Linked DNA regions of Danio rerio. The protein of the gene in region 2 purifies or fractionates together with the protein of the main gene of each other region. This does not show direct contact. Links are inferred from orthologs where the notes say so. Each region holds a gene or a part of one and is shown on either strand. Other genes may lie near its edges.

Region 1 (3,995 bases), on a different chromosome or scaffold from region 2:
AATGGCCCAGGTGGAAAATATTTTTATTTGACCCATCAAAAATATTAAAAAAGCCTAAAATCTGGATTTTGAGATATAAGACATTTGAAGACCTCGCAGAAACTCTGTAGTCGATGCCTCAGATATCAGATTTTCAAAAGTTGCACATCAGAAGTGGTATATTAAATTTAAGACTGAGATATTTTTAAGACCATTATGAATGAAATTTTAGACTTACAAAGGGCTAAAGGCTAAGGAATTTTTCAAATGGCCCAGATGGAAAAAAAAAAATTATTTGACCTATCAAAAACATTTATTACAATTTAATACATTTAATAATACAGTAATAATAAACAATTTATATACTTTAGATTTTATTTCTTAGCTAAATGTTTTAAATATTGTGTAAAAACAAGCAAGCTCTGCTTGTCTCCATACACTTTTTTTTCCCCGAACATAATATTTCTTTAAAATAAAAAAATGAACAAACGGTTTGAAAACTATAATAAACAAAATCCATTGGCAACAGTCTGTCCAGGTCGGTGTACTCAGGAGAACATTTAAACATGTTATTGTAAGGAAAGTAACTAAACCATTATGATAAAGTTTCAAAAATTACCTTTTAAATAAAGTTTAAAGTTATATTGAGATGATTGTTGGTGAATGTATGGGTTTGGGCCAGATTGAGCAGCAATAGTTGAACAAAGGAAATTTAGACCTGTTTAAAAAAAAAATAATTTAAGACCTACAACACAATATTGTAGTAAATTTAAGACTTCAAAGATTAAAATCTGGATTTTGATATTTAAGACATTTGAAGACTTTTAGACCTCTCAGAAACCCTGATAGAAGTGCAGTTAGTTTTATATTCAGATATTCAGACATTCTTCTTAATAATATAATTTTCAGAAAAGTATTCTTTGCTAATTCTAAATAAAGAAATAATACAAGCGACCAAAGACTATCAAAGTACAACACTGTTTACAGTCAATTAGACGGTGTTAATGTTGTTTAGAAGTCATACTTGCATGCTAATTCTGATCGAATGTTTAAATTAACATAATAAACAATATAGAGACTGCTAAATGAACGAATGTGTGAATATAAAAAAACTACCTTACCTCTATGAAACCCTGTACTTGATCCCTCAAATTTCATAGAGGTAAAGTTGGTTCACACATTCATTCATTTAGAAGTCTCTATATTGTTTTCCCTGTTACTTTGAATATTCGATTGGAATTAGCATGCAAGTATGACTTCAAAATAACAGTAACACTATCTAATTGACTGTAAACAGTGTTGCACTTTGATATTAATTTGCTGCTAATATGATTTCCCTATTTAAAATTTGCAAAAAACACTTTCCTGAAATTATATTAAGGAGAATGTCTGAATATCCCAATATAAAACCAACTTCACCTCTATTCAGATTTTTCAATGGTTGCGCATCAGAAGTGCTATATTTTGTATATTTTCTAACAAACCACACATTACCAGGCAGCTTTGTTCAGCTTTCAGATCATGTTTACATCTCAGTTAACTTAACCACACAGTTCTGACTGGTTTTGTGGTCCAGGGTATCATATTATAGCGAAGTGATTATAGAATATATGAAGAGTTCAGATGCAAAAACCTCAAAGCTATCTGAGATGTTCTCCTAAACTGAACATTTATTTCAGCCTCTTGTTTATGTTCAGTTTTTTTCACTTTAAAGGCAATGTTAATAACTTATTTGTCACTATTAAAGTAAAATTACCTAGCCTAAACACAGGAGTTGGAGAAAAATGGTCATTTTAGAAGAAAATATCAGATGTCTTTGATAGGTTTTTGCATCTAAACCCTTCATATGTAAAACAATAAGCATAAAGCACAATAATTTTCTTCAGGAAACGAGTCATCAGACCCTTTAAACACAATTTAGACTCAAGTTTACAACAAAGTAACACTTAAGTTGATGCTAACAGTTCTGTTTCCCACCTGCAGCATGTCTTAGTACGAGCTAAGCTAGCTTACATGCTACATCTCACACAACTTCTGCATCCTCGAAAAACACACCAGCCATAAACCAATACAAGAACATGAACGAAACACACTGTCTGTGTGTTTAACGTGTGTTTATGCTACACACGAGATTTATTATGAGGCGGAAATTACGTGAAAACTGGAAGCATTACATGCTAGCATGCTAACCAGTTAGCCGCTGCGCTAATCAACACATGAACGTTCAAAATAACAGCAAAGTTGAGTTATTTCTTAATAAACGAACAGAAATCACACCATAAACACTAAAACACGAACTCAACCGGCGGAGTGTGTTTATATAACGTTAACAGTTCTGTAGAGCTGAGGCCTGAGATGTGTGTGAGAGAGGATTTCAGCATCAAAGACGCACATAAACACATCAGATATGGATAAATATGATCGAATATGATCAATAATCAGATGTTGTGGTGTTTATGACACACACTGAGCTCTCCGTACCTTCCAGTTGCCGTAGAGTCGCTTGATGCGGCGGTAAAAAGCGTCTTTATCCAGACTCACCGCCATAATATCACATCAACACACACACTGAAGTCCAGCAGCGCGCGCGCACGCACACACACACACACTCTCACTCACTCACACACACTTATACACACTTTCACTCTACTGTTTCTGTTCTTCACAGCACGACACACTCGATACACGCTCAGAAAAATAACGACGGCGAGACAAATTCAAAAATATTCAAATTCAAATTTTAAAAAGACGGTTACTACGGTTTAAAATGCCTGAGTGCCGTTATAAGTGCTGTCGGTCTCTTTCGCGCTGTGAATGCAGTGAATAATCACGCATGTGCGTCCGCTGAAGCCCCGCCCCCTCTCATATATACGCGTCCCTTTAACATTTATTTCCATTTATTAAAACACGCGTTCATTTTGAGCACATCTAGCTTACTTCACAAACTTGTAGGCTGTCCATTTAATTATTATTTATTTATTTCAATTATAAATGCATATATTTATTTAATTATGCTGCCATTTTGTGACTGTTTACAAATGTTCAATTGTTATTATGTGCTAAACATCGTGATCATCCAAAAAGTTCAAAATGCTGAGCTCAAGCTACACACGAGACGGGCATCTGTGCTTGTTTAGTAACTATATCCGCATGTAGGTTGGATTTTAATCGCATGTGCGGTGTTTATTACGCTTTTGTTTTCCTGCGTTTCCCTCCCTCACGGAAAACTCCCGCCCTGGCAGTGACGTCATGTAGGATACGTCCAATAAAATCTACGTTAATGTGGTCACGTGATGAGCTCTGTCTTGAAATCCCCGCCCTGGAGGGAACCTCATCGCGTTCTTGACGTTCACGCGCACGGCTTCTTTCCCGCCATCTAGTGTCACTTAAAAGCGCGCGAACTCCAGCAGAGCACGTGGGTTTGGCGCGCTTGAAGCAGAGTGAGGAGAGCGCTGAATTATTTACAGTCTCCATTATATTTCTCTGTGGGGTTTTTTTGGGAAAAAATAAGTGGGTAACAAAATAACAATTAGATGATTATTGAAATATTCCATTAGTTTTTTTAAACATTTAAATAATACATTTAAATTAATTCTAACATTTAAATAATATATAAAATTTTATTTTAACATTTAAATAATAAATTTCATTTTATTTTAACATTTAAATAATAAATACAATTTTATTTTATCATTTAAACAATAAATTACATTTTATTGTAAAATTTAAATAATAAATAAAATTTTATTTTATCATTTAAACAATAAATTACATTTTATTGTAAAATTTAAATAATAAATAAAATTTTATTTTATCATTTAAACAATAAATTACATTTTATTGTAACATTTAAATAATAAATACAATTTTATTTTATCATTTAAATAATAAATTACATTTTATAGTAACATTTAAATAATAAATTGCATTTTATTTTAACATTTAAATGATAAATTAAAATTAATTTTAACATGAAAAATAATAAATTACATTTTATTTTAACATTTAAATAATAA
Region 2 (4,035 bases):
CAAAGTCTGTTGAACATTAACAAATTTTCATTTGTTTAAATTCTACAAATTTGTTTGCAACAATTTTGCAGACATTATTTCTTCAGTGTACTTTAAGTTCAAACGTAAATATAAATGTTTCTGATTAAGAGCTCAACTAAGAAAGATTTGTTTTGACCAATGTTATATTTTACCTACTCGTACAGGCCAGTGCATGTAAATTAAACTCAATATTCTGTTAATAAAATAATGCTGGGTTCCACATGAATCCTTCTTGTTGCCCAAACACAAATTAAGTTAACTTTAATTGGAATTGAAATTTAAGTAAAATCAACATAACAATTAAGTTGTCCCAAAAAAAAACCTTAAGAATTTTGTTGTTTCAACTAATTTTTATGTATTTAAAGAAGCAGCAATTTATTTATTTTTTAAATGTGCATGTTTTGTACTTTCAAGGACTTAAATATCAAGGCAAATTATTTATTTTTCATCGGCTCAAGTGATGAAATTTGTATGTGAAACTATTGCCCTCCGTTTTTTAACAGGATGAATGAACATTTAATGCGAATTGTTAGTTTGATTAAAGCTATTTCTCCTTGTTTAGAAGAGAATTTTAATTAATAGACTTTCTTCAAGACAAATACATTTTGTGCCAGCTTATAAAAAATTGCTTTTATTCAGATAGAAAAGATTAAGGCAACTTATTCATATCAATGATGAAAAATTTTTATAAACGGTAACAAAGCATATTTGTCTTGTTAAAGAAAGTCAATTCTCTTCTAATCAAGAATCTATAGTTTTAATCTTAACAACTCTTCCTATAAAATGTTTATTCATCCAACAAGAAGAATTTAGGGTAATGGTTCACATCTACAATTTGATCACTTGACCCAGTGAAAAATAAATAAGTTGCCATAAACAATATTTTCTTTCATTGGGTCAAATGCTAAAATTTAGACATGAAACCATTACCCTAAATTATTTAAATAGGATGAATGAAAGCTTTTTCCAGTCCAAGATGCAGCCCATAAAAAAAAGAAAACAATACTGGATTATATGAAAGATTTTAGTTTGTTTTGAGGTTTGGACTAAACAGCTAAGACCAAGAAAGCTCTTCATCTGAAACAAACAAAAACAACAGCAACATGACAGGGTTATGTTGTAGGATTTTATTTTTTAAATAACCTACACTTGAGGAAAAAGAAAATAAAAAAAGAAAGAAAACGTGATCAGAGGTTATGGCATGAGCTCGATAAGTTGGAAAAGGTTACATGGCTGCCACTAACAACATTTGATTTCATACTGGAGTGAGGGGAAAGAAAAATCAAAAGAAAACAAAATGAAGAGTGTTAAAAGTCCATGTTAAAATAAGTCTATTCTTAAAATCTTGACACAATTACAAAATAAAACAGCTTCAATCATAACAGACTGTTTTTGGCAAAGTTGATTTCCCTCACATAACCCATCTGAAACAAACCCCTTTCGCCAAACCCTGAAATAACACATCCTAATAGTGAAATCTTCAAGTAACAGATACAGGAGCTTCGCTTTTTTTTTTTTTTTTTTGTAATCTTTTTCTTTTTTTAATGTTTTATCTTATGGAAACAGTCATTACACATTAAGTTAAACCCAGATTGAGACTCAAAGCTGTAGGATACGGGAGACAAAAGTGTGGGGGGAAATAATTGGTTCACATTTACACTGGAAACAAGACCCTGATATAGAAGCTGTAAAAAAAAAAAAAAAAAAAAAAAAAAAAAAAAAAGGAAAAGGAATTCACATTCTGCATGTTTAAGGAAATATAATTGAAGCTGTAATCCCCTGCAGCTCATCCAAGCATCTTACTTTGTGGTCTGGATATCGTTTATACAAGAGTTTGAAAGAGAACAGTTCACGTAACACTCACTCAAACACACAGCTCTTCATGGTCATATTTCCCAGAAAATAATCACACCTGGTGTACACGTTTCTCTCCTAACAAGGCGTGTGGGTGTACTTAAGCGATTCTTTGATTTTTCTATTAAAATATAGAATTTATTTTAATACAGGAGGGCTAAAAATACAGCAAAACTAAAACTGAAAGGATCCACAAAGCGAGTCGTAGTTGAATACAGTAGCTAGAGGACCACGCAAGTTCAACGTTTTGTTTTTTTCCCCCCTGTGACATCCCCGGGCTCCGTTTGTCCAGAGCCCCGAGGGGGGAGACGGACAGACAAACAGTACAAGTGTTCAAAAAGGTTGAGCCGCTGATTCTCCAGTTTCTGGCTTGAGGACCATGCAACCTTGTGTACTTCATTCTCAAAAGAACGACCTGATAAAACCTACAAGATTACATGTCAAAGCCTAAAATAAAAACACAACTGATCAACGAAGAGAGAAACACAAAAGCCCGTCACTGAAATCATGACATTCAGGTCTCCTCTGGACACTACGCTCGCTTCACATCTTTTCCCTCGTCAGGTTCTCAACCTGCTGGAAATCACTGACTAAAAGTATCTATTAAAACAACATAAAAAGGATGTGGGTGGAGGGAGAAGTAAAATCTCAAACAAGATTTAAAATTCATAGTCTTTTTCAGCCATGTCAATCGCCCAGGCAAATTTCTCACGCTGAGTTTTGTTGTAGATCTTCTCTATCGGGATGCCGAACTTCTTACACCTGGAAAGACGGACATGAAACATTTTTAATTGATGGTCTGCATCATTTCACCTACACATGAAGCAGAGTGAAATTCTCCTCTCGGGCTCCTGCATGCAGCTTCAGTAATTATATCTTAATAACAACGAATAGATTCTTTTCATTGCCTTAAAGTAAATTAACTGAACAAACATAGGAGGAAATGCTCATTTCAGAAGAAAACTTTCAGATAGCAGTGCACTTGTCATGGCTTCTGAACTCTTCACATTCAGTCCAAACTGTTGTTGCACCTCTTAAAGCCCTTTCACACTGCGACGCAAGCATGCTCTTCAATCAAAACAACAGATCCCTATGGAGGTTTTCACACCAGGCTTCACCATATCACAGCACAAAGCAACATTTTGGGCTTTTTGACCGGTGCTTCAATTTTGTTCCCCCATCAGCGTGTGATGAAATGAGCGACCCAGTTAGATTTGAGCTTTGGGTCAAGTGGTCAAAGCTCCAGAAGCACAGGTGAGACTGATGGAGATTCAGTTTGAAAACTAATGCCAAAGACAAGAGTTCAGACAAAGAATAGACGCCAATTGTTTATTAAACTTGGTGTGGTTTTGATGAATTCTCTGATAAGTCAAAAGTCATAATAACAACAACAACAACAACAACAACAAATGAAAATGATTTTTTTTTTTTTTATTCGGTCGTATCTATTGCAACATAATTAAAAATTCACTATATGAGCTGAATAAATATGATTGATTGGGATGATTCTGTGGGAAAGTGCATAAAATATAATGAAATCTACGAGCACAGATACTAACAATAAAAATAAAAAAAGATACTAATAGTGTTTATTTTTTAAGAGTTGTTAAACTGTATTCAGGTGTACAATAACTGAATAATCAAATGTAAATTAATACTGCATAGTCTACGTTTTATAAAGAATTCCATAAATTCAATCGTTGTAAATTTGTCAAAGACACAAACGTTACAATTTCTTATGCCTAAATGCTTTTAAACCCCTCAGTCACAGGCATCAAAAAACAAGGCAAAACGATCAATTATAATCCAGACTCAACATACTTGCGATGTGGCTATTGAATGATCACATTGCAACATCAATGCTGAAACGGAATATTTTGCAGCCCTAAAAAATATTATTATTATTATTATTATTATTATTAAGCAAAAAAAAAATTACAGAGAAAAGGGATAAATTTCATTATTTAAAGCACTAAACATTACAGCTTTAAAGTGAAGAACCAAAGACTTTTGATGATTGCATGTCTGTATGTGGTAGGGGTTAAAAGCCAAAATGAAGATATAATAATAATAATAATAATAATAAAGTATTTAATATACATTTTGTATTTATAAAATTTATAAAGTGCCAAATAAAACAGAGCAACAAGCAACAACAAA
Region 3 (4,285 bases), on a different chromosome or scaffold from region 2:
ATATATATATATATAGATATGTATGTATATATGTGTGTGTGTGTGTGTGTATATATATATCAATAAAACCAAAATTGAGTGTAGTAACAAAACAGGATTACATTTGTTTGATTATTTTATAAACCAACAATGCTGTGTCGTGTAAACCATTATTAAAACAGTCATTCTTAAAATGACTTTAAAAGTCATTATTTAAAAGTCAAAAGCTGGTCAACGATTTGAGCAGGCAATTAAGGGTTAATGTAATAGGGTTAATGAAACTGCACTTAAATGGCACAAATGCTCCAACTAGCAACGGTTTGGCAGTTTGAATATGATTACAGGTTATACAATCACCTCATCAGCATCCCGGTCCTCTGCATCTAGCTCTTCATCCTCATCAGAGTCCAGCTCTGGTCCGATATAATTTCCAAACTCGTCATAAAGATCAGTCTCCATGGCGACGAGCTCTGATAGGACAAAACAGATACAAATGACATAACTTACTTTGGTGCAGAGGAACTATTCGGAATGCAGATCAACTCATTTAAAATGCAGCAGTGGTTCATTATTCTGTCTGTTTTATTTTCTAGTGTTGGGAAAAACGTTACTGTAACACTTTTAGTATTACTGCACAAAATGCTGATTGAGGTAAAATTGGTTTAAATTCTTAGCGTTTCTGTAAAATTTGCTTAAATGCCTAACAAAATGCATACCCAAAGTAAATTGCATGCTATTTTTAACCATTTTTAGTATTGGTCTTTGTCAGGTGACAAATTCGATTGTAAAATTATTGATTGTTAAAATATTTAAAAATCACAAATGTTACAACTAACTTTAGCTGACTAACTCACCCCTTGTAAAAAAAGTTTATTTGTGGGTGTCTTTCTAAAAACAAATAAAGGTTTTTGTTTAAAACATTGCAGGATTTTTCTATATTTAGAGTATTTATTTGATGTTAAATGTTTTAAAACCCCGGATTTGGCATGGGCTGGTATAAGATTCTGATACTATGATAATCTTGGATATAAATATCACGGTTTTAGGTATTGCGATTACTGCTCTGAAATATATTCCTTTTAAATGTCTGGGTAAAAAAATAAAAACGTTTTCCCCTTTGTACACAATATATTTTATTTGGGAAACATTCATAATATTTTGGAGCAGTAAACATGTCAGGCTAAATAATTCAAATGAATTATTGACTTCTGCTTCCTTCATTTGTTTCAAAAATACAGATTTGTAAAAAATTTAAAACGCAATCTTTGAATATCTTTTCTGCTGTCCTAAAAAAAAACTAAGAAAAAAGTAAATTAAAAAATCTTACTCATACCCTAGGAACAATATAGCAGAAAATTGACGGTTTTAAAACCTTGACTTTTCTAAACCGCGGTATAGCTTAAAAAATGGTTATCGTCTCATGCCTACTCCAGACTGCAGCTTAATGAAACCGTATTTTTAAAAATCTGTTTTTTTTATTTTATACGAAAAAGGGATAAATACATTAGAAGTCAATTTTATTCTATGAGGTAACTATGCATTGTTTTGGTCTCTTTTGAAAGGTGACACACTAAGGTTTATTCCCTAATAGTCCGAATCACTGTAAATGTTTTTGAATAATTAAACTTAATTAAACTCTGCTTAAAACTTTTATCTTAATATTCGAACATTCAGACTTTTTTCTTAATAATATAATTTCAGTAAAGTATTCTTTACAAATTCTAAATAAGAAATTCATATTAGCTACCGATGACTATCAAAGTACAACATTGCTCACAGTCAAAGTCTTCACAGTTTTGAATTCATACTTGGAAGCAATTTCAGACTGAATATTAAAAGTAACATTGAGGTAAAGTTGGTTTTCTATTCACACATTCTCATTGATAATATCATCTCAGAAAAGTATTCTTTGCAAATTATAAACGGGGTAATCATATTAGCAGCCAGTGACTATGAAAGTACAACATTGTTCAGTCAATCAAACAGTGCTAATGTTGTTTTGAAGTCATACTTGTATGTGATTTCAAACCAAATATTGAAAGTAGCCTTGTAAACAATATAAGAAACATGTCACAAGTTGTCACTGAATGAATGTGCTAATATAACCAAGTTTACCTTAATTTGCATCCAACCAATGTGCTAGTTAGTTTTGCGTTTTGGATAGAAACTGGTAACGTTAAATTAATACCTTCTCTATATTGTACTTTGAATATTCAGCCTGAAATAGAAAGTAAGTTTAACTTCAAAACAGCGTTAGCACAATTTAATTCTATTAACTCTGTGAACAATGTTGTACTTTGAAAGTCTATGGCTGCTAATATGAGTTCACTACTTGCAGAGAATCATATCTTTTTAAATTATAGCTATTATTAAAGGGAAAGTCCGAATATAAAACCAACTTTACCTCAATGTAAACACCAAAGGGAACGTGACACAAGTTGTCAATGAGCAAAAACTTTACCTCAATAAAATGCTGTAGTGTCGAACATGTATCTTTAAGAGCCCAATAAACACAGCAAACATTAAAGTGAATAAAATTACCTCATAACATACTGAAAATCGCAATAAATATAAAAGATTCCCTTGTGAAACTGCCTCAAGTAAAGCCGATATTGCAACTGATCGCGCAGCAAACGTACGACAGCGAATGAATGAATAATTGCTTCGTGTAAATAATTATTTCCGTCGTAAATATAGTGCGTATTATAACAGTGTTATACCTGTGTGCGAGTCTTGTTTTTAATCCCGGTGTGATTTTATTGTTACAAAATGATCCCTCGTACTGTTTCAAACCATGCACCGCGAGGTCCTCGCACAGCTCAACGTAGGTCGTACGTTGGTGACGTCATCAGCGTTCGCCAAGCATATTGCCTGTTTGAAAAAAAAAAAACAGGCTACTAATACATGTCGCAGTCAGCCAAGATTTACTAAAAAAAATGTTTTTTTAAGTTTTCATATATTTAAAAATCAATTTTAAAATTTTGACCACTATTTTTTAATGTTGGAGTAAAAACAAAAACGTAAATAAACATTGAGTGACTCCATAGATATCTTATTATATATATATACACACACATATGGAGTGTATTATATATGTATGGAATATATATCTATGAAGTGGCTCAAATAGATATTGGCTTCAAACACTTAAGGGTAATCTTAAGTATGATTTACAGCTTTAATTATTATACAAAAAACTTTTTTTGTTTTTCAGTACAAAAAGTATCTAGATCTGAATTTATCTTGACAAACTATAGCTACATACATAGGCTACTACCATGTATCATTTTCAAGTATGTACTCAAAAAGTAGGGTGACTGACAGACTTATAAGACTTAAAATTTGCAAATGTAGCCTACTAATAGACAACCAAACTCTGTTATAGCTAATATAAGCTCTCTGAATAAAAAAATCTAAATCAAAACAAAACCAGTTAAACATTTTTAATTCTAGTTTTTTTTATAGCTAGACAATTTCTTCCAACAATAAGGTGCATATCTGTAGGCTGAAAATGGTCATAAAATGAAGTGAACACTATTAAAAACAAAACATTGTTTGACAAGGAATGGATGGGAAAAGAGATTTGTCAGTATCCCAATTAATTGACAGCAATAAAGGTATTACTTCATATGAAAATGTTTGTACTAAATATAATTTCTAATTCAGTAAAGTTTAAATCTTTAAAGCCATTTCTATCTCATTTGTCTGTCTAATTAAGGAAATACTTTCTTACTCTACCCTTATAACCCCAACTGTGCCTCCTGTGTTAATTGAAGTCTGTGATTTCAAAGAAAGAAATCTATGTAACAACATTTTATATCCATTTTATAGGATATAAAATGTTGTTACCAATCATTGGTTTTTACATAGATTTCTTTCTTTGAAATCACAGACTTCAGTTAACACACGAGGCACAGTTGGGGTTACAAGAGTAGAGTAAGAAAGTATTTCCTTATTTAGACATAATTAAGGAAAAAATAATAATTATAAAAAAAACTCAACTTCACATAAATTATCTAAAAAGATACCATTCACGTACTTAAAATTAAATATTTAAATATTTAAAGTTTCCTCTGTCTCCAATAACTAAAAAAGTTCATTTTAAAGTTTTAAGTGGGATGAATCTGTCAAGTAAATATTTAGGAATTAGATTTGGATTTGAGTCTAATAAATGTGTGTTTTGTGATGATATTGAAACAACAGATCATTTGTTTTTTCACTGTATGTTTGTGGATGCATTATGGATGCTTCAGATTCCACACCTCAGGATCTTTAAGGGATTTTATATATGAAAGAATCTCATTAT
Region 4 (3,926 bases), on a different chromosome or scaffold from region 2:
TTTAGTTACATAGTTCAACTATTCTATTTCTACATGTTGTTTAATATCTATTCAACAAAACTAAGTAAAATAATTCATTTTTAATCGTTGCTTCTATGACATTTAAATTAAATTTTCTATTATTAACACTTAGCCAGTGGGGCTTTGCCAACTATTTTTTTTCTTTAATATTGTACTGCGTTGGTTTGTTATGATTATTTTATTTACTATTTCATATTTTAGTATCTATTTTGCATGCACATTAACCAATATTATTAACATGTTAACAACATCAAAACATGAATAAGTTAGAAAATTAAATACAAAAGCACACTGTTCTTCATTTTAAACAGGTGCATCTCAGAATGTGATTTTTACTTTATGTAAATGATCTACACAGCCACAGGACCCTTTATCTTTTTACTTATTTTCAACGTATTAGAGAGGCAACAAACTCACTGCTAAAATTAAAAACTATTTGCTACAATTGTTTAATACCTTGTTTCTGGATACAGGCTATAGTTTAGCTACAGTCGTGTGATGGGGAAATAGCATTACAAAACTGTAAGTCAGACGATGTTTGGGCAAAATTATGGCCATTCGCGTCCTTTCTATCGTGCAGAAAATAGATTTATGTTCATCTACAATCAAAAACAGAACAACCATTATGAAAAAAATATAAATATAGGCTACCACGAATGTATGTATATGCTTTTTTGTTATAATTTATGTGGATCAAAAATATAGTTTAACTTAAGCGCCCCACACAGCATAATGGCTAAATAATATACTTTAAAGTAGCCAAGTCAAACTTAATCTCTACAGGCCTAGCTAACATCGCGTCTTAATCAAAATCCATAAAATAACTTTACTCTTGAAAAACGAGAGATTTTTCCTGGTAACGTTAGCCTATTCCCGAAGAGTAACTTCTCCATGGCACAAAACCCAATTATGTTAGCATAATTAGCGTTGTGATATGCTTATGTACCCGAAAAAAAGAATAAAAAAACTTCTTGTGATCTAAAAGCAGGCTAATGCCAGTTACATTAGCCATAAAACATTAGCAGAACCTAATTTCTGTTTCTCTGCAGCCTCTCCTACTGTGTCGTAAACTCATGTCTTCCTGACTCAGCTGTTGTGCGCAGGCGCAGTATGACAGTACTGCACCACGGTTTTGCTGTGACGTTTATGACAGAGACAAGTCCGAACAAATATCTCGCTACGAAAAATTATTTTAAGACACAACACTTTGATAAACGAGTCAGTTTCGCTTATTTACGCATTATATTGGAACATGTTATTCATGGAGACCGATAAAAATAAATTACAGCGTTGAACTGATTGTTTTCGCAGTATCATCATCATTTGGTTTTACCTGTGAAGCGAATTAATTTCGAAAATCAATAAAGATGATGAACGTCGAGGATGAACTGACCACAGCAGCAGCCACCGGAAACATTTCCCATGTTCAGTTTTTACTTTCTAACGGAGTGAATGCCAATGTGGTTAACAAATTTAGAAGAACGCCTATACAGGTAGGTTTAGACGCGCTTTAAGAATAAACAACGGAAATAAACAAATGCAAATAAATAAATAAGATTAATTGCAGATATGTAACATTAAATTAGTAACATACAATTCAAAGACTTATTTTGTATTAAAGGTCATATTATTTAACAAATTTAGGCTATTTCATATTTTCACACCTGTTTGACTATATGGGATTTACTTTTCTTTTTTTTTTTTAAATATTAGGCTATTTGTGTATTTATTTTACTCATTTTAGCATGTTTAAGAACCTTTTAGGCTACTTAAACGGCCTGAAACATGTTTACCAATAGCGTGTTATCAACCTATATAATACTAACAACACTTTCTATCTTTTAGTAATGTCATTAATTTTAACATTATAATTTTAACTTATAGCTACATTCTTAGAAATTAGTCCGAAATAAGACAAGGAGTTTTGGATGTATTGTCAAAGTTCAAATTATTCAAAGAAAACTAAAATCTTATTGAAAACGAAAGTCCCAATGTACTATAACTGTGTATAAAAACCAAATGTTTACAATTATATATAAGAGATAGATAGATAGATTTATATACATAACAATAAATAAATAAGACATTTTATAGATCTTAATTTCAGATAAATTTTAAACTATTAAATCATATCTCTATGTGCGAGAAGAATGGCACACTACTTGCTAATTCACTCCCGAAAGCTTTGTTGGCATCGATGGTTTTAAGAAGAACCTTTTGCATCTATGGAGAAAATTTTTGAAAAATGTGCCTTTAAACTATTAAAATGTTTATTTCATTTTTTGACAATAAAAATACTTCTTTTGGAAGCTTTGTAATAGGTTTTCTGTGCGGAACCAGAAGGGCATCACTGCGAAAACCCTTTTCCTCTTATTGCCATGCTTGTTTTTACGAATGTACGTTTAATATTTTGACATTTGTACAGTTGGCCTATATTGACCAAAATAATCAGCCACCACTAGCACAGTCATAGACTAATGGAGTATATATTTTAGACCATACTTATTTTTGCTTGTTTTTATAATCGTGTAGGCCTATTATTATAATATTTGGTGTGAAAGTTTTCATCTAATTTTCACAATGTCCAATGGTTTTACGGTTCATGCTCTCGGTTACGGGACATCAAAAGCCGAAGAGGTAGCCTACAATAAAGTGCGTATAGATATCTTTTAGCACACTTTAAACAGATGGACAGCATACATCCAGAAATCGTAAAAGATTAGGCAATTGTAAAACTTCTGACGAGCATGAATTGCCTCAGAAAAATGTCAATTAAACGAAAGATGTTTAAGAAAATCACAAATGTGAACAAAGCATATTTATGGCATACATTTTATTTAAAATGATTATAGGAATCTTCATAATTAATCATATGAAAAATAAGAATTAGCTACAACACAATTTGTTGCATTTAATTGATTTACTGCCCGTGAATAATTTATTGATAGGCTAAAAGAGTAATGCATCATGCACAGCAATGTTCAGTGCCAGCATGTGCACTGCTTTCGTTCCTATTTAACCAAAAAGTATCTACTTTCCAGATTTCGAGTGATGGCAGTAAAATTATTGATTAAACAAACTTCTTTACAGTGACATCATGACGTTACTGGCGTTTATTTTTTCATGAGACAGCAATTTTCCCCCTCTCCAGGTGATGATGATGGGTAACGCACCTTTGGCTCTTGTGCTGCTGGAACAGGGAGCGGACCCTAATGTGCCTGACCCCGACACAGGGAGCACACCTCTGCACGACGCTGCCAGAACCGGATTCATTGACACCGTGCGGCTTTTAATCCGCTTCGGCGCCGACCCCAATACAAAAGATCACTGCGATTTACGACCAGTGGATGTGGCACAACAGACTGGCAACGTAGACGTGGTTGAATTACTCAATCGTGTTTAAAATGTTTAAAGACTGCATCACTGCATAGCCTAGGCTACTTTAGGTGGTAACCTTATTAATGCACTCAAGTACTTATAATTCTCAATAGCACATGGTCATTCATGTAGTTTGGAGATTCTAATCATTTAAAATTTTATTTCTGTATCTTTTAAGTTTATTTATTATTATTATTTATTATTAGCTAGTCAATGGGAACTTCAATAAAAGGCTACAGACACAAACCATCATACGCTCATGCTAGCCTATAGTTCGCATAATAAAAAGTGTAGACAGCATTATGTCCAAAGATAAATAAATAATTAAATAACATATCCACCTATTTGTTTTTAACCTGAAAAGCATGGCGACAAACATTGAATCAAATGGCTTGCAACGCAAGGACATCCAATATTTTTGGCGAGCTCTTTCTTTTTTCATTTCTTCCGGTTAAACATGCTTTTATTAAGTTTATAATATTGTACGACTAATAAAAATGAAACTTTCTATTTATACCAAGGCATAA
Region 5 (4,227 bases), on a different chromosome or scaffold from region 2:
CTAAGTATGAACAGCACTTAGCAGTGAAAATGAAAGCGTGCACATCATTTAAATAATCATATCGCATTTTACAGCAATGATTACAATATCTATCCATCCATCCATCCATCTATCCATCCATCAATCCATCCATCCATCCATCCATCTATCTATCTATCTATCTATCTATCTATCTATCTATCTATCTATCTATCTATCTATCTATCTATCTATCTATCTATCCATCCATCCATCCATCCATCCATCTATCCATCTATCTATCTATCTATCTATCTATCTATCTATCTATCTTCTTTTGTGCTCAACAGAACAATTTAAAGGTTTGGAACAATTAAAGGCAGAGTAAATAAGACAATTTTAATTTTGGGGTGAACTATCCCCTTTAATGGTGCAGAAATATTGTACAAATGTAAACAATACATTAATAAATCGTCAAACAAGTCAAATAGTAAGACATTCAGAAGAAAAAAAAAAGATTTGCACTGAAAAATAAACAGGACTTACTCAATTTGAACAATTTTGGTCCCACTTTTTTTTCAACTACTATGTACTTACATGAAAAAATAAATACAATGCACTTAATGTGTTCATGATGTATTGCTGAACACTTCTGGTCCTCCTGAGGTGGAATATGGGTAGGTTTAGGGACTGGATTGGTGGCGTCTTTATGGTTTAAGGTATAAGCAATGATTAACAGTGAAATAACAAACGAACTTACAGATGTATTTACATGCAGGTATTTAACCAAGCATAAGTATCATGTAAAAACACATATTTACACAAGAAGTACATTGTAATGAATTATTAATTTCAGTGCGAGTACATTTTAGTTAAGGTTGCTTAATCTAAAGTGGGACCCACATTTTTACTGGTCTTCATTGTATTAAATTAGTGTAGCTTTGTTTCATTAAATGTTTTCTCAAATGAAACACGTTTCCAGCGAAATTGTCCAAATCACACCGCTGTTTTGAGCTAATGTTCATAGGAAATCACTGCTGACCTGCTTCACTCAGTCAAGTATGTTAGTTTGTTTATTTAATTTTTTAGCAAAAGCACTCTTAAACATTAAACATTAATTAGGTGAAAGTAAATAAAAGTGTTTTTTGCACATACAGGGCTTACAAAATCTGGGGCTATTGTTTTTTCATTCGGGCTACCAAAAAGCCTGGTGGGTTATCTAGGTACCAGACTTTGCAAGCCCTGACATATTACAATCTATGGCTTATAATGAATCTATAAAATAAGGCAATGAGTAATAAGAAATTCAGAAATAAATTGACTTGCATAAAAAATAAACAGAATTTAGTCAGTTTAAACATTTTACTGAGATTAATTACAATGATATGATGCAGCTTTGTTTATTTTCTTGATGTATTCTCAAATTAAACTGGTTTTCAGCAAATCTTGTGCAAATCACAGTTATTTTAAGCTAATATTCATAGAAAAGCACTGCTAATCTACTTTAAGTATGGACGTTTACTTAAAAAAAGTACACCTAATCATTAAACATTAATTAGCTGAAAGTGTAGCCTAGTAAATAAAAGTGGTTTTAGCACATATTACTATCTATATAGCTGCATAATAAATCAATAATAAGGCAATGAGTAATGATGAATTCAGAAAATTAATAAGACTTAAATTGAAAATAAACATGATATAGACAATTAAAAATAATAATGAGCTTCATTGCATTGAAATAGTGCAGCTTTGATTATTTTCTTAATGTATTCTCAAATTAAACTGGATTCCAGAAAATCACACAGCTATATTTAGGCTAATATTCATAGGAAATCACTGCTGATCTACTTTAAGTATGGTAGTTACATTTATTTTTAAAAGTACATTTAAATAATTCAACATTAATTAGCTGAAAGTGTACCCTAGTAAATAAATGCGGTTTTAGGAAATATTACGATCTATATAGCTGCATAATAAATCAATAATAAGGTGGCGAGTAATGATGAATTCAGAAATAAATATACTTGTATTGAAAATAAACAGGTTTTAGTCAATTTAAACATTTTACTGAGCTTTATTGCATTGAAATAGTGCAGCTTTATTTATTTCCTTAATGTTTTCTCAAATTAAACTGGTTTCCAGCTAATACTGTGCTAATTACACAGCTATATTAAAGCTAATATTCATAGGAAAACACTGCTTATTATTTGATAACAGAGGACCATTTAAAGGGATAGTTCACCCAAAAATGAAAATGCTGTCATCATTAGCTCATTCTTCACCTGTTACAAACCTATTAGAGATTCTTTCTCCAGTAAACACAAAAGAAGACAGTTGGGAAAAAGCTGAAAACCTGTAACCATTGACTTCTATAGTATTTTTCTACAATGGAAGTGAATGGGTACAGGTTTTCAGCTTCCTTCAAAATATCTCCTTATGTATTCAACAGAAAACAACAAACTCATAAAAATTTAAAACCATTTGGGGGTGAGCAAATTTAAAATGTTTAGGTGAACTATCCCTTTAAACTCATCTTGGGCCTTAGAAACCTGTTCATTCATTTGTGTACGTACACTTACTATACATTTCGCCACGCATACCTGCACAACCAAACGCATTTCCACCAAATATAGAATTTTAAGGATGTTTCTGAAGCAGAGCTAATTCCAAAAAGTTGCACACAACAATAATTCCCTCACCTGCACCATGATGGCCATCCTCAGCGAGTCCTTAGCAATGTTGTCTTTGCATTTCTTGCATGAGGCGCGTCCGCTTTTTGCATATTCGGCTTTGTACAGCTTGTCGTCCTGTGAGTCGGCCATCTCTGCAGATATTTCTGTTAAAAGGAGAAGTTTGCAGACTAATTCTAGTCAGACAGGCCGACAACTCACGTTACAGCGCAATGAGGAATAGCGCGCAGTCAGTCCGCGTGCAGAAGCACCCGCGCAGAATACCAGCCCAAACCAATCGAGCCCACATTCCTCTAGTAGTGGAGAATATGCGCAGACAAAGCTAATCGAACTCAAAGCTCCTCAACACTGAAGAAAAATCTTTTAAGTAGGCAGGGGCGCAATTGCAAATTTACTTAAAGGTATGCGGGTTCAAGTTGGGGTGGTATAATAAAATTAATAATAATAATAATAATACCTTTTATTTTTAGGCGCCATTTGATTTGATTTTGATTTTATGCGCCTTTAGGCAGTATGATTTTCTTTATCTAATAAAATACAATATTATCATGTAATTTAAACGCAAAATAAACATTCTTAACAAAAAATATTTATTTATTTTGATTAATAAAAACTTTAAGTATTAATAATTTCAAAAATAGTTTTGGCACACCCCCGCTCCCCCCATGTATGGCGCCCCTAAGCCCCGCATATAGTGCACACCCCTTTTTTGCGCCTCTGTAAGTAGGGCAAGAAAAAATCTGCGGACATTTTTTTAACTTTTTCTGCAAAGAATTTTGTTAAAAATCTGCGGATTTATGGAATAATTTTGGGAGTATCAAAACTAAAACCTTCATATATGAATTAAAAAATAATAGCTTTCTAACTTGTATTTAATGTTTACAATGCAAATTCAATTTGATCCACTTTATTTGGTAAACAAAGCAAGTGTCTCATATAATATCTCTACTAAAAGACAGAAAATAATACTTTACAAACTGTACTGTAAATAAATCATACGAATATTTTCACATTAGCCAATAATTATCCTAAAATGAATTTACAAACTGAATAAATATACATTTTAAAACATTTACACAAGTAAATAAACAGAATCAATGATGGTCTAAAATTATGTGGAATTCTGCGTGTGCAGATTCCGCGTTGGCCTAGTTATATGTTTTGTGTCATATGTTTACACAGTGCTCAGCATAATTGTGAATACACCCCATTTAGAAAATGAATATTTTACCCATTTATCAAGAAATATAGGTAATATATTTTGGTGCATTTGAACAAAACAGATGAAACAGATATATTTAATAAAATAATATTTTAGTCACTAAACATCTTTAGAAATAGAAAGAAAAAATATGCTTCAATTATTGCGAAATATTGGGGGAAAATTACAAACTACAAAATTTCACAAAATTTTATACATTTTTTTGTTTCTCTTGGATTTTGCTCTTTGAAAAATTATTTAATATTTTCCCTAACTTATACATTTGGACTACAAATTTAGTTATATAAGCTCCAGATTTGGCTTCAGTCCAGACTAATTTAATGTATATGCACAAATATAAAATATCGTCAAGCTTCC

The links. Proteins that work in one complex are often made in the same cells at the same time.
Region 1: the proteins of top1a (region 2) and supt16h fractionate together in Homo sapiens (co-fractionation; 3 studies listed by BioGRID and IntAct, with this or other methods). This does not show direct contact. The link is inferred for Danio rerio from reciprocal best matches to the Homo sapiens genes TOP1 and SUPT16H.
Region 3: the proteins of top1a (region 2) and eftud2 purify together in Homo sapiens (affinity purification with mass spectrometry; 3 studies listed by BioGRID and IntAct, with this or other methods). This does not show direct contact. The link is inferred for Danio rerio from reciprocal best matches to the Homo sapiens genes TOP1 and EFTUD2.
Region 4: the proteins of top1a (region 2) and cdkn2a/b purify together in Homo sapiens (affinity purification with western blotting; 3 studies listed by BioGRID). This does not show direct contact. The link is inferred for Danio rerio from reciprocal best matches to the Homo sapiens genes TOP1 and CDKN2A.
Region 5: the proteins of top1a (region 2) and parp1 purify together in Homo sapiens (affinity purification with mass spectrometry; 4 studies listed by BioGRID and IntAct, with this or other methods). This does not show direct contact. The link is inferred for Danio rerio from reciprocal best matches to the Homo sapiens genes TOP1 and PARP1.

What each region holds. Positions count from the first base shown.
Region 1 is NC_133182.1:2,044,131-2,048,125, reverse strand, and holds the start of supt16h (FACT complex subunit SPT16), read right to left. Parts: upstream 2,801-3,995; 5' UTR 2,527-2,800; coding exon 2,461-2,526; intron 1-2,460. UniProt on the Homo sapiens protein: Component of the FACT complex, a general chromatin factor that acts to reorganize nucleosomes. The FACT complex is involved in multiple processes that require DNA as a template such as mRNA elongation, DNA replication and DNA repair.
Region 2 is NC_133186.1:27,381,013-27,385,047, reverse strand, and holds the end of top1a (DNA topoisomerase I, like), read right to left. Parts: intron 2,638-4,035; coding exon 2,535-2,637; 3' UTR 1,134-2,534; downstream 1-1,133. UniProt on the Homo sapiens protein: Releases the supercoiling and torsional tension of DNA introduced during the DNA replication and transcription by transiently cleaving and rejoining one strand of the DNA duplex.
Region 3 is NC_133178.1:15,084,021-15,088,305, forward strand, and holds the start of eftud2 (116 kDa U5 small nuclear ribonucleoprotein component), read right to left. Parts: upstream 2,801-4,285; 5' UTR 2,521-2,800; intron 2,493-2,520; exon of another isoform or gene 2,441-2,492; intron 450-2,440; 5' UTR 439-449; coding exon 337-438; intron 1-336. UniProt on the Homo sapiens protein: Required for pre-mRNA splicing as component of the spliceosome, including pre-catalytic, catalytic and post-catalytic spliceosomal complexes. Component of the U5 snRNP and the U4/U6-U5 tri-snRNP complex, a building block of the spliceosome.
Region 4 is NC_133176.1:27,776,115-27,780,040, reverse strand, and holds the start of cdkn2a/b (cyclin-dependent kinase inhibitor 2A), read left to right. Parts: upstream 1-1,126; 5' UTR 1,127-1,388; coding exon 1,389-1,514; intron 1,515-3,172; coding exon 3,173-3,424; 3' UTR 3,425-3,926. UniProt on the Homo sapiens protein: Acts as a negative regulator of the proliferation of normal cells by interacting strongly with CDK4 and CDK6. This inhibits their ability to interact with cyclins D and to phosphorylate the retinoblastoma protein.
Region 5 is NC_133195.1:46,952,218-46,956,444, reverse strand, and holds the start of parp1 (poly [ADP-ribose] polymerase 1), read right to left. Parts: upstream 2,801-4,227; 5' UTR 2,781-2,800; coding exon 2,658-2,780; intron 1-2,657. UniProt on the Homo sapiens protein: Poly-ADP-ribosyltransferase that mediates poly-ADP-ribosylation of proteins and plays a key role in DNA repair.